2 linked regions of the Arabidopsis thaliana genome follow. The protein of the gene in region 2 interacts with the protein of the main gene of each other region in a pairwise test. Each region holds a gene or a part of one and is shown on either strand. Other genes may lie near its edges. The genes, in order: SDR3 and RIP3.

The links.
Region 1: the proteins of RIP3 (region 2) and SDR3 interact in a two-hybrid assay, tested with the Arabidopsis thaliana proteins (one large-scale study listed by BioGRID).

The regions. Positions count from the first base shown.
Region 1 is NC_003071.7:19,348,671-19,352,476, forward strand, and holds SDR3 (NAD(P)-binding Rossmann-fold superfamily protein), read right to left. Parts: upstream 1,981-3,806; 5' UTR 1,812-1,980; coding exon 1,798-1,811; intron 1,717-1,797; coding exon 957-1,716; 3' UTR 678-956; downstream 1-677. Other genes in the region: SDR5 (NAD(P)-binding Rossmann-fold superfamily protein), read right to left, coding at 2,300-2,606, 2,830-3,282, 3,376-3,389; AT2G47150 (NAD(P)-binding Rossmann-fold superfamily protein), read right to left, coding at 3,654-3,806.
Region 2 is NC_003074.8:19,779,282-19,784,412, reverse strand, and holds RIP3 (ROP interactive partner 4), read left to right. Parts: upstream 1-1,711; 5' UTR 1,712-1,875; intron 1,876-2,182; exon of another isoform or gene 2,183-2,788; 5' UTR 2,789-2,857; coding exon 2,858-2,877; exon of another isoform or gene 2,878-2,915; coding exon of another isoform or gene 2,916-2,968; coding exon 2,969-4,223; 3' UTR 4,224-4,331; downstream 4,332-5,131. UniProt on the Arabidopsis thaliana protein: ROP effector binding specifically activated ROPs and linking them to the microtubule cytoskeleton. Involved in ROP-regulated polar growth.

The sequences.
Region 1 (3,806 bases), on a different chromosome or scaffold from region 2:
AGTTGATAAAGACATATAAATTAGATATAATTTAGATGAGTTTGGGAAAAAATAGTAAGTTTTCCGGTATATAAAGTTACTCAACAGTGACATCCCAATTTCCAAATGCCATTTTTTCAAAAAACTAATTGTGTCTACCATTGAAACAACACATGTCCATCCATATCTGCGATGTTTTTACACGCATATTTTCCATGGCTCCACGCCTAATTGGTACAACTTGATGGTAGTACTTCTAGTTTTATCTTCTTTGTGAAGAGAAAATGAAAAGGATAAGATAACGGTAAAGATGACAACTTTATGATTTTGATTACATCTTATGTTTCCTTTTATAGACTAATGTTATGCAACCATGATCTGAGACTTTCAATCTTATCATCATTATTTAAGGATCAAAGAAAAAAAAGAACTTGATAACGGTTGCATTGTAATTTGTACAGGAGGAAGTTTTTGATTGAGTTTCTGAAATCTTTGTTTGTGTTTTTGAATCTGATCTTGGGCTTGAGCTGTTAATGGGCCTCTGGACTTTTGTCGGCTTTTTCTTTATTTGGTGATGAAGCCAAGCCCAAGATATTTGTGTGTCTTTTTGACTTTTCTTTTTCGACGACTCTTCTTCTTCTTGACTTCTCTTCGTCAACTCTTCTGTTTCTTGTCCCGACAAATTCTTTGATGTGATTGTGGACTGATACTTTGTAATTAATAACCATTAAGCCAACAATTGTTTTTTGCAGTAAATTACAAGTAAAGAAACTTTAATAGTAAGTATTAATAACGTTACCCTTATTTATCCGAATTAACTATAGTACATACGTAATTGCTTACGTAACGTTATAGGCGATTATTCCATGGTGTGATTTGACCCAAAAAAAAAAAAAAAAAGATAATGGCGTGAAAAGCTCGTTGAAAGTAAAATATTAAGGCGTTAATAAGTGTTGATTTATAGAATATTCTCTCCTTCAAATGGGCTTAACGACGCTATAACCCCCGTCAACAGCCAGATTCTGACCGCTAACGTAAGCCGAATCATCCGAAGCCAGAAACAAAGCCGCCTCTGCCACATGGCGAGCCTTAAGCACCACACCTTTGAGAATCCCCGTGGCTGCGCTATATTCCTCCACCATCCTCACCGTTTCCTCGTCACGGCTATTTATCGCCGTCGCCACCGCGTATGGTGCAACGCCGTTGACTCTAATCCCGTACTTCCCTAGCCCGCCACAAGCCGATTTAACCAGCCCGAGAAGAGCGTGCTTAGACGCCGTGTACGCGTGAGGTCCTGGACCACCGATCTCCGACGCGACGCTGGTCGTACATACGATTGACCCACGCGTGCCTTTCTCCACCATGGCTCGTGCAGCGTGTTTGATAAACGCAGCCGCACCACGAACGTTGACCGCCATGGTTCGGTCAAACTGTTCCAGATTCAAGTCGAGAAAGCTTCCCGGCTGTTCCATAACGCCGGCGTTACTAAAGAGAACGTCAAGCTTCCCGTACTTTTCGACGGTGAACTTAACGGCGTTTTCTACCTCCTTTTCGTTTGTAACATCGCAACGGTAAAAACTTGCTTTGTCTTTCCCGACAGAAACGGCAACGTTTTGACCAAGTTCTTCTTGAAAGTCAACGATGACCACCTTAGCTCCGTGGTCCGTGAACAGCCTAACCGCTTCGGCTCCAATCCCGCTAGCTCCGCCTGTTATTATTGCGATTTTGCCATCCAATCTGCGGTATAGAATATAAACGTACACGTAAATTAAACAAATCAGTAAACATATAATAAAAATGCTTTGGAGTCACACTTGCCTGAGTCCCGACATTTTTGAAGGATTTCAAAAGTAGACAGAGAGACAGATTAATTATAAGTCAAGTAGACCTGAAAGAGCGACTAGATATGCTCCGTTCTCTGTATTTATCGTAGACTTTATATTAATCAATTTTTTTTTTCCTATTTTGTTTTTTAATCAATTATTTTGAAACTATAACGTGTAAATTAGTACTAAATGGTTAGGATTCTTCACTGAAATATCAAAATTCAAAACCCATAGTCAAAATAGAGAGACTAGAAAGACGATTTATCAAATAAGCTTGTAGTATTTGTTTAAATAAATTATCCTCGAGATGTGCAATATGTTGGATAATGAATGTTACCATATAAAAATACAACATCCACATTTCAAGGAAATTTGCAACCTCAGAAACTTCTCAATCCCCATGCCTCTACAACAATTAAGTCAAGTCAACTTTTGACCAAAAAAACAAAATTCCAATATTCCATCATGGGATCTTTGTGGCCAAGTTGTTATAGCTACGGCTTCACCACCGAGTAACCACCGTCAACAGCCAGGTTCTGTCCGCTAACGTAAGCCGACTCATCGGACGCTAAAAACAGAGCAGCTTCTGCCACGTGACGAGCTTTCAATACAATGCCCTTTAGATTCGCCGAAGCTGACGTGTTCTGCTCCACCACGTTTGGTTCCATCTTGAAACCATTACAAACTAACGGTGTTGCGACACCAAATGGAGCAACGCCGTTTACTCTTATACCATATTTTCCTAATCCACCAGAAGCCGATTTGATCAAACCCAACAGCCCATGCTTCGACGTCGTGTACCTATATTATTAGTAAGCAATTCATTCTATTTTGAATTTTAACGATAAAAAATTATTGTCAATAAATCGTGACAACATGATCACTTTGTTATTCTTTTAATTATAATACTCCGTTGCAGCGATCCACTATTTATTATTACATGGTTTTGAAAACGAAATTAGTTAGTGCACTTTTGGTTTGTCTAAAGAATTAAAAAGTCTTTGTTGTGAATATTAGTTTTTACCCGTGTGGTGCCGTGCCAGCGATCTCAGCCGCGACGCTAGTGGTGCAAACGATGGAGCCGCGGATGCCTTTCTCCACCATGGCACGTGCAGCATGCTTGATGAATGCGGCTGTGCCGCGGAGGTTAATGGCGATCGTTCGGTCTAACTCGTTGAGGTTTAAGTCGAGGATGCTCACAAACGGCTCTATTACGCCGGCGTTACTAAACAGAACGTCAAGCTTCCCATATTTTTCGACGGTGAACTTAACGGCGTTTTCAACTTCCGTCTCGTTCGTGACATCGCAATGATAGTAACTCGCTTTGTCTTCACCGATCGAAACTGCAACGTTTTGACCGAGCTCATCCTGTACATCAACGATCACGACTCGAGCGCCGTGTTCGGTAAATAATCGAACGGACTCAGCCCCAATCCCGCTTGCTCCGCCAGTAATAATTACGATTTTGCCATCCAATCTGGAAAAAAAAAACAAATCATTAGAAACACACATTTATGTATATGGGTATAAAGTTGAGCAGAAAGGTTACAAAATCAGATGAGGAAATTGCCTTTTTCCAGACATTGTTGAGACGTTATGAAAATTTGAAGGATAGAGCTACGAGAGAGCTATGTGTGGATATTTATACATGGGGGTATATGTATCTTAAAAGTCAACTCTATCGTGCCATGTGAGTTTTACTTTTTTAATGGCTCAAGAATTGGTTTGACCTCTGAATTATGCACCATAATAGTGACACTTGTTCCTATATAATAATGTTTTTATTTGGTTGAAAAAAATATACACACTTTAATAAGTAAATAACCGATTTTATTTATTTATTTAGTTTCAAATAGGCTTAACGACGCAAAAACCACCGTCCACTGCTAAATTCTGACCACTGATATAAACCGAATCATCCGAAGCGAGAAACAGAGCAGCTTCTGCCACGTGTCGAGCCTTTAACACAACACCTTTAAAAATCCCTCTGGCTTCGCAATA
Region 2 (5,131 bases):
AACCAAACAAAGAATTCTTTATCTTCGTCGAGAATGAAGGCAATATAATCCATTATATCAAACTTCTTCAAAACAGATACAACTGAATATTCTTGTGCAAACTCATATGTAGATGAACAAGTTGGATATCAGGACGGGCCTGTTTCAAGGGGAGACAAAAAAAAGTAATCAAATACCTTGTATATATATACATCATTCAAATTATATTAAAACTCAGGATCAAGCCAGTTAATTTCACAGCATAAATGCTTTAGCAACAAAGTGGTTAGTTTCACAGACATTTTATCGAGCAGGTGGTGTGCACAATGTAAAACAAAGAAAAACAGAAACCTTTGACGTAAGATTTTGATTATTTTTCCGACAATGTCTGAGTAAATGAGAATGGTGGAATCTGGCTCCAATTTCAATGATTCAAATTGAGGGACAAGGACGAAGAAAGAACCGCGTTATGGTTTTAGACTTTTTAGTGGTGTGGTGAAATTTACGTCGAGTTTTGAACGATACATATGGATACGAGTTACGGTTTCAAGTATGGTTCAACCGACGCGAATTAGATCGAACCGAAAATTTGATCGAAAAATGAAATCGTTGTCCGCCAGAACCGGATAAAACCGGAAATTGGGAGGCGGATGAAATTAGTTTTTGACTTTTTGTACATAACCAACCCATCATCAGTCGATCACTCACTCTCGGTCACTGAAAATTAAAAAAAGAAACAACACTAGCTAATTTCAAAATGTTTTATGATCAATGGTTTATAATAATTTCTAACATTTTTGCATAATCATCATCGCATGGTGGTGTTTAATTATTTAATTACTAGCCAGACAGTGTAGTGAATTTATTGTTGAAATACTTTCTTTTTATTCGTCAAAAGAAAAATTTGATTAGTAGTTCAGAAGTCACTAGTTAATACTCTAATAATCTAGTACTAGTGAATATAATGTTTTTACAAACCATTAATGTAATCAAGCTAATCGATCGTTAGCATAAATTTCAACGATATTTTCTCCCAATTTTTGTTTTCCGCCCAAATATATAGTTAAAGTTGTGTGGAAATAATATGTTAAGTAAATTAGCAAGCGTGTATGATAAATGAAGATAGTGATGATTGATTTTGCATTGTTTCTTTTAGGAGATGTGTATGTCGTATTTATCATGCATCGGTTTTCTATGAGGTGGTGTGAAAGTGAAACGTTACATGCTTCAATATATAGCACTTTCAAATGTATGTAGATTGAACACGGAAGGTTAATGTGTTTTTGTGAAAAATTGTGACAATTTTATGAAAATTTTCCATTTATAAAGTATATAGATATGCTAGGTTAGTGTCCTTTGTGTGTGAGTGACTTATGGTTGCGTGACCGTTCGTTGTTCATAAGTAGCAATATGAGGCCAAACAATAGCACGTGACTCGGGCGCGTCTACAAGGCGCGTAGTTAAAAAAACGCCCCCTCCACGTTCTTCTACTTTCGGTCCATTCTATCAATTAATTTCAAAATAGCCCCTGATATTTATTGATCTATTTCATTACCAACCCCACAAGTTTTTTTGATTATCCAAAATTTTAATTTTAATTTTTCGGAATAACCAAAAGGAATCCAACGTAAAAGGATTATAAAAATAACTAAGTACTGAAAATTGAGGTGGAAACAGCACAATCATTACTTCAGGGGTTACTTTTGATAAATATTGCAGTTTAGTTGAAAATAAATGTTTCTTCAGTGGGAAAAAACGACTCGCGAGTCCAGTGAGAAAAAAAGAATAACAATCCGACGAGAAAGAGGAAAGATCAAATCATCTAAGTGCTGGTGCCTTGATTCTGCAGTTCTCCATTTTAATCCAACAAAAAAAGAAGCTGAATCGACGGTATAGGTGAATACTTCTTCACGACTTTTTCAAACACTCAGAAACTTCTCTTCCTTTCACATTGATTTATTCCTAATTTTAGTGCGATTTTTTCCTTTTTTTTCTCAGAAGTTTATCAATCTTGTTAGGTAGATATTTACTACTAGTTTGTTTTTTCTACTAATTTGCTGAAGAAAGTGTTAATCTTTGGTTGGTTTAAGGTATAAATTTGCTTACATCTACTCAAATCAGCTAACTTTTATTTTGGTTTGGTAGCTTAAAGATTCAGTCAAAAAAAACTTTAATCTTTGTTTTCCTGCAAAAAGCAAAAGTGTTTCTGTAATAAAACACCTTTTTGCAGAGAATGTTAAAAGATTCTCTAGTTTTAGGCTTTATGTAAAAACGATTTTTTTGCTGGGTGTTCTGTTTTTGGATCTGTGTTTCTTTTTTGGGAAGATCCACCCAATGAAACCAAATCTCACATTACAAAATGACAAGAAATTGTCTCTTCTTCCCAATAATTCCAAAACTTTGATTTAGTAAAAAATAAAATAAAATAACTGGGTGACTTAACAACCAGAAAGATTATGTGTAAGATATTGGTGCTTTCTTTGCTTGTAATAGGGTTTATCTTTGGTGATTTGATGAATCACATTGACGGCAACTTCTTTTCTAATTACACTTCTAAATATTTTATATATTTGGAATTGTTCCAAATCATTACAATATTCATTTGTTGTCTCTTTGCTTTCGTTTGGTGGTAATAGGAGTCTCTTTGAAGCTAAATGTGTAAATATTATTCTTATGTTTTTTTCGTACACTTGCTTAAGCTTTCTTTCTTCCCTGAGTTTGGTTGTCTATATGCTTATGATAAGTTTTTTTTTTCCCTCTGTTGCTTCTTTCTCACACTTTCCATTGGTCTTCATGTACTATTTGTCAGATTCTTCAAAGAAGCAATCATAACGCAATTGATTATATCCCCAAAAGAAAAGGTTTTTAAACTCCAAAAATGCAGACTCCAAAATCAAGGTGATGATCACAACTCTAACTTTGTGTTCTTGTTGTGAATGTTGTTGGAGTTATTGATCTGTTTCAAAGTGATTGTGATTGTGTGTGATAGGCCAGGATCATTGGAGCTGCCACAAAAGAAGTCTCCTTTACCAGCTCCCAAAGTTGTTAGGAGACTCAAACCAAGCGGAGCAGAATCCGATCCAAAAACCAAGACAATATCGAAAACTCAAATCCCGAAAGTAGTAGCTGATCGTCGCTCTGCAAGAATCCCTCTCAATGAGGTACTTTTGCAGTTAAAAATTGTTGGTTTGGTTTGGTGTATGCAAGTTTTATATATGGTGATTCTTGATTATGTTCTTTTCAAGATTCAGAAGAAGCGGACGGGAAGGATACCGGAACTGGAATCTACGATATCTCAGCTTCAAGAAGAGCTTAAGAAGGCAAAAGAAGAGCTAAACAGATCAGAAGCATTGAAAAGAGAAGCTCAAGAAGAAGCTGAAGATGCCAAGCATCAGTTAATGGATATCAATGCCTCGGAAGATTCAAGAATTGAGGAGCTGCGTAAACTCTCGCAGGAGCGAGACAAGACATGGCAGTCTGAACTTGAAGCTATGCAGAGACAACACGGAATGGATTCTACCGCTCTGTCTTCTGCCATTAACGAAGTTCAGAAACTGAAATCGAAGCTCTTTGAGTCCGAGTCTGAGTTAGAGCAGTCTAAGTATGAGGTAAGGTCTTTAGAGAAACTCGTCAGACAGCTCGAGGAAGAAAGAGTAAACAGTAGAGACTCTTCATCATCAATGGAAGTGGAAGAGCTGAAAGAAGCAATGAATCTTTCAAGGCAAGAGATAACACAATTGAAATCTGCAGTTGAAGCAGCAGAGACAAGGTATCAAGAAGAGTATATACAGAGCACATTGCAGATAAGAAGCGCATACGAACAAACAGAGGCGGTTAAATCAAGATATTCACAGAGAGAAGCAGAGTTAACGGAAGAATTGAACAGAACCAAAGATGAAATCGAAGGTTTGCGCAAAGAGTTAATGGAGAAGGTGAAAGAAGACGAATCTACGGGCGATTTGAAGAAGCTAGAATCGGATTTGATGGAAGTGAGAGGGAGTTTAATGGATAAAGAGATGGAGTTGCAGATTCTAAGGAGTGCAATGGAGAAGAAAGTGGAAACCGCAAACACGGAAGCCATGGAAGCTGAGCTTAAAAGAGTGAAGATTCAATGTGAGCAATGGAGGAAAGCTGCTGAGACGGCAGCTTCTATACTGAACAATGATGAGGAAAGAACAGATTCTATTGAGACTAGCAAAATGTTGAAGAAGTTTGGTGTGTTACTCAAGAAAAACCATAAGTAATAATAATACTGATTCTTTTTACTTGATTTAATAAAAATGGCATTATTGTTGTATGTAAATTTATAAAATTTCGATTTGTCTAAGTTTAATTTTTTTGTTGAAACGTTGCCACATTTGTTGATGAAATTTGTATTGTGAAATGTTGTTTGAATTCAATACTTGAAAAATTATACCTTACTTGTCTGAGTGTGAGCTGCTAGTAGCAAATTTAGTTTGGTCCTGTACATTGGTTTACACTTTACATGTATAGAAGAGTCAAGAGTGTAAAGTAAAAGTTTGTAATAGAATGTGAAACTCTAATTAAGAAGCCACATGAATACCTCTCAAGTCTTGGATCTTCCTTTTGACATTTTCTTCTGTCTATTTTCCTTTTTGTTGCGCACTAAACGCTGAGACGGCCCACTAGATTGTCTTTGGTAATGACAACCAAATCCACTTCATGAAAACATTTGACTTTTTTTTTTTTGGCAGAGACTAACCCATTCTACCTAGTTTTTAGATATCAGTGACAATAATTAATTAACTACTAGAAAATGTCCCACGCGATGCGTGGGTGAAATGAATGTAGTGAAATATATGTCTATAACTAATATATATTAATATAATATTAATTATTTTATAATACATTCAATAAAAAATATCATAAATATTGTGATTATGATATTTTAGTTTTAAACTAAACATTTAGTTTATGAATTATAATCTAAAATTATTTTGGGTATTTATAAATTAAAAATTATCGAATTGATCAAAAAAGAAAAATTATAATATTGATATACAAGATAAGCCTTGTGTTTTATTTAAATATATGAAAATGATATGCAATATTTCTCTGAGTAAAAGATTTCATAAGTATATATCATATTGATTATAGTATGTGTGTAAATTGTAAAGTAGTTAATAGATTT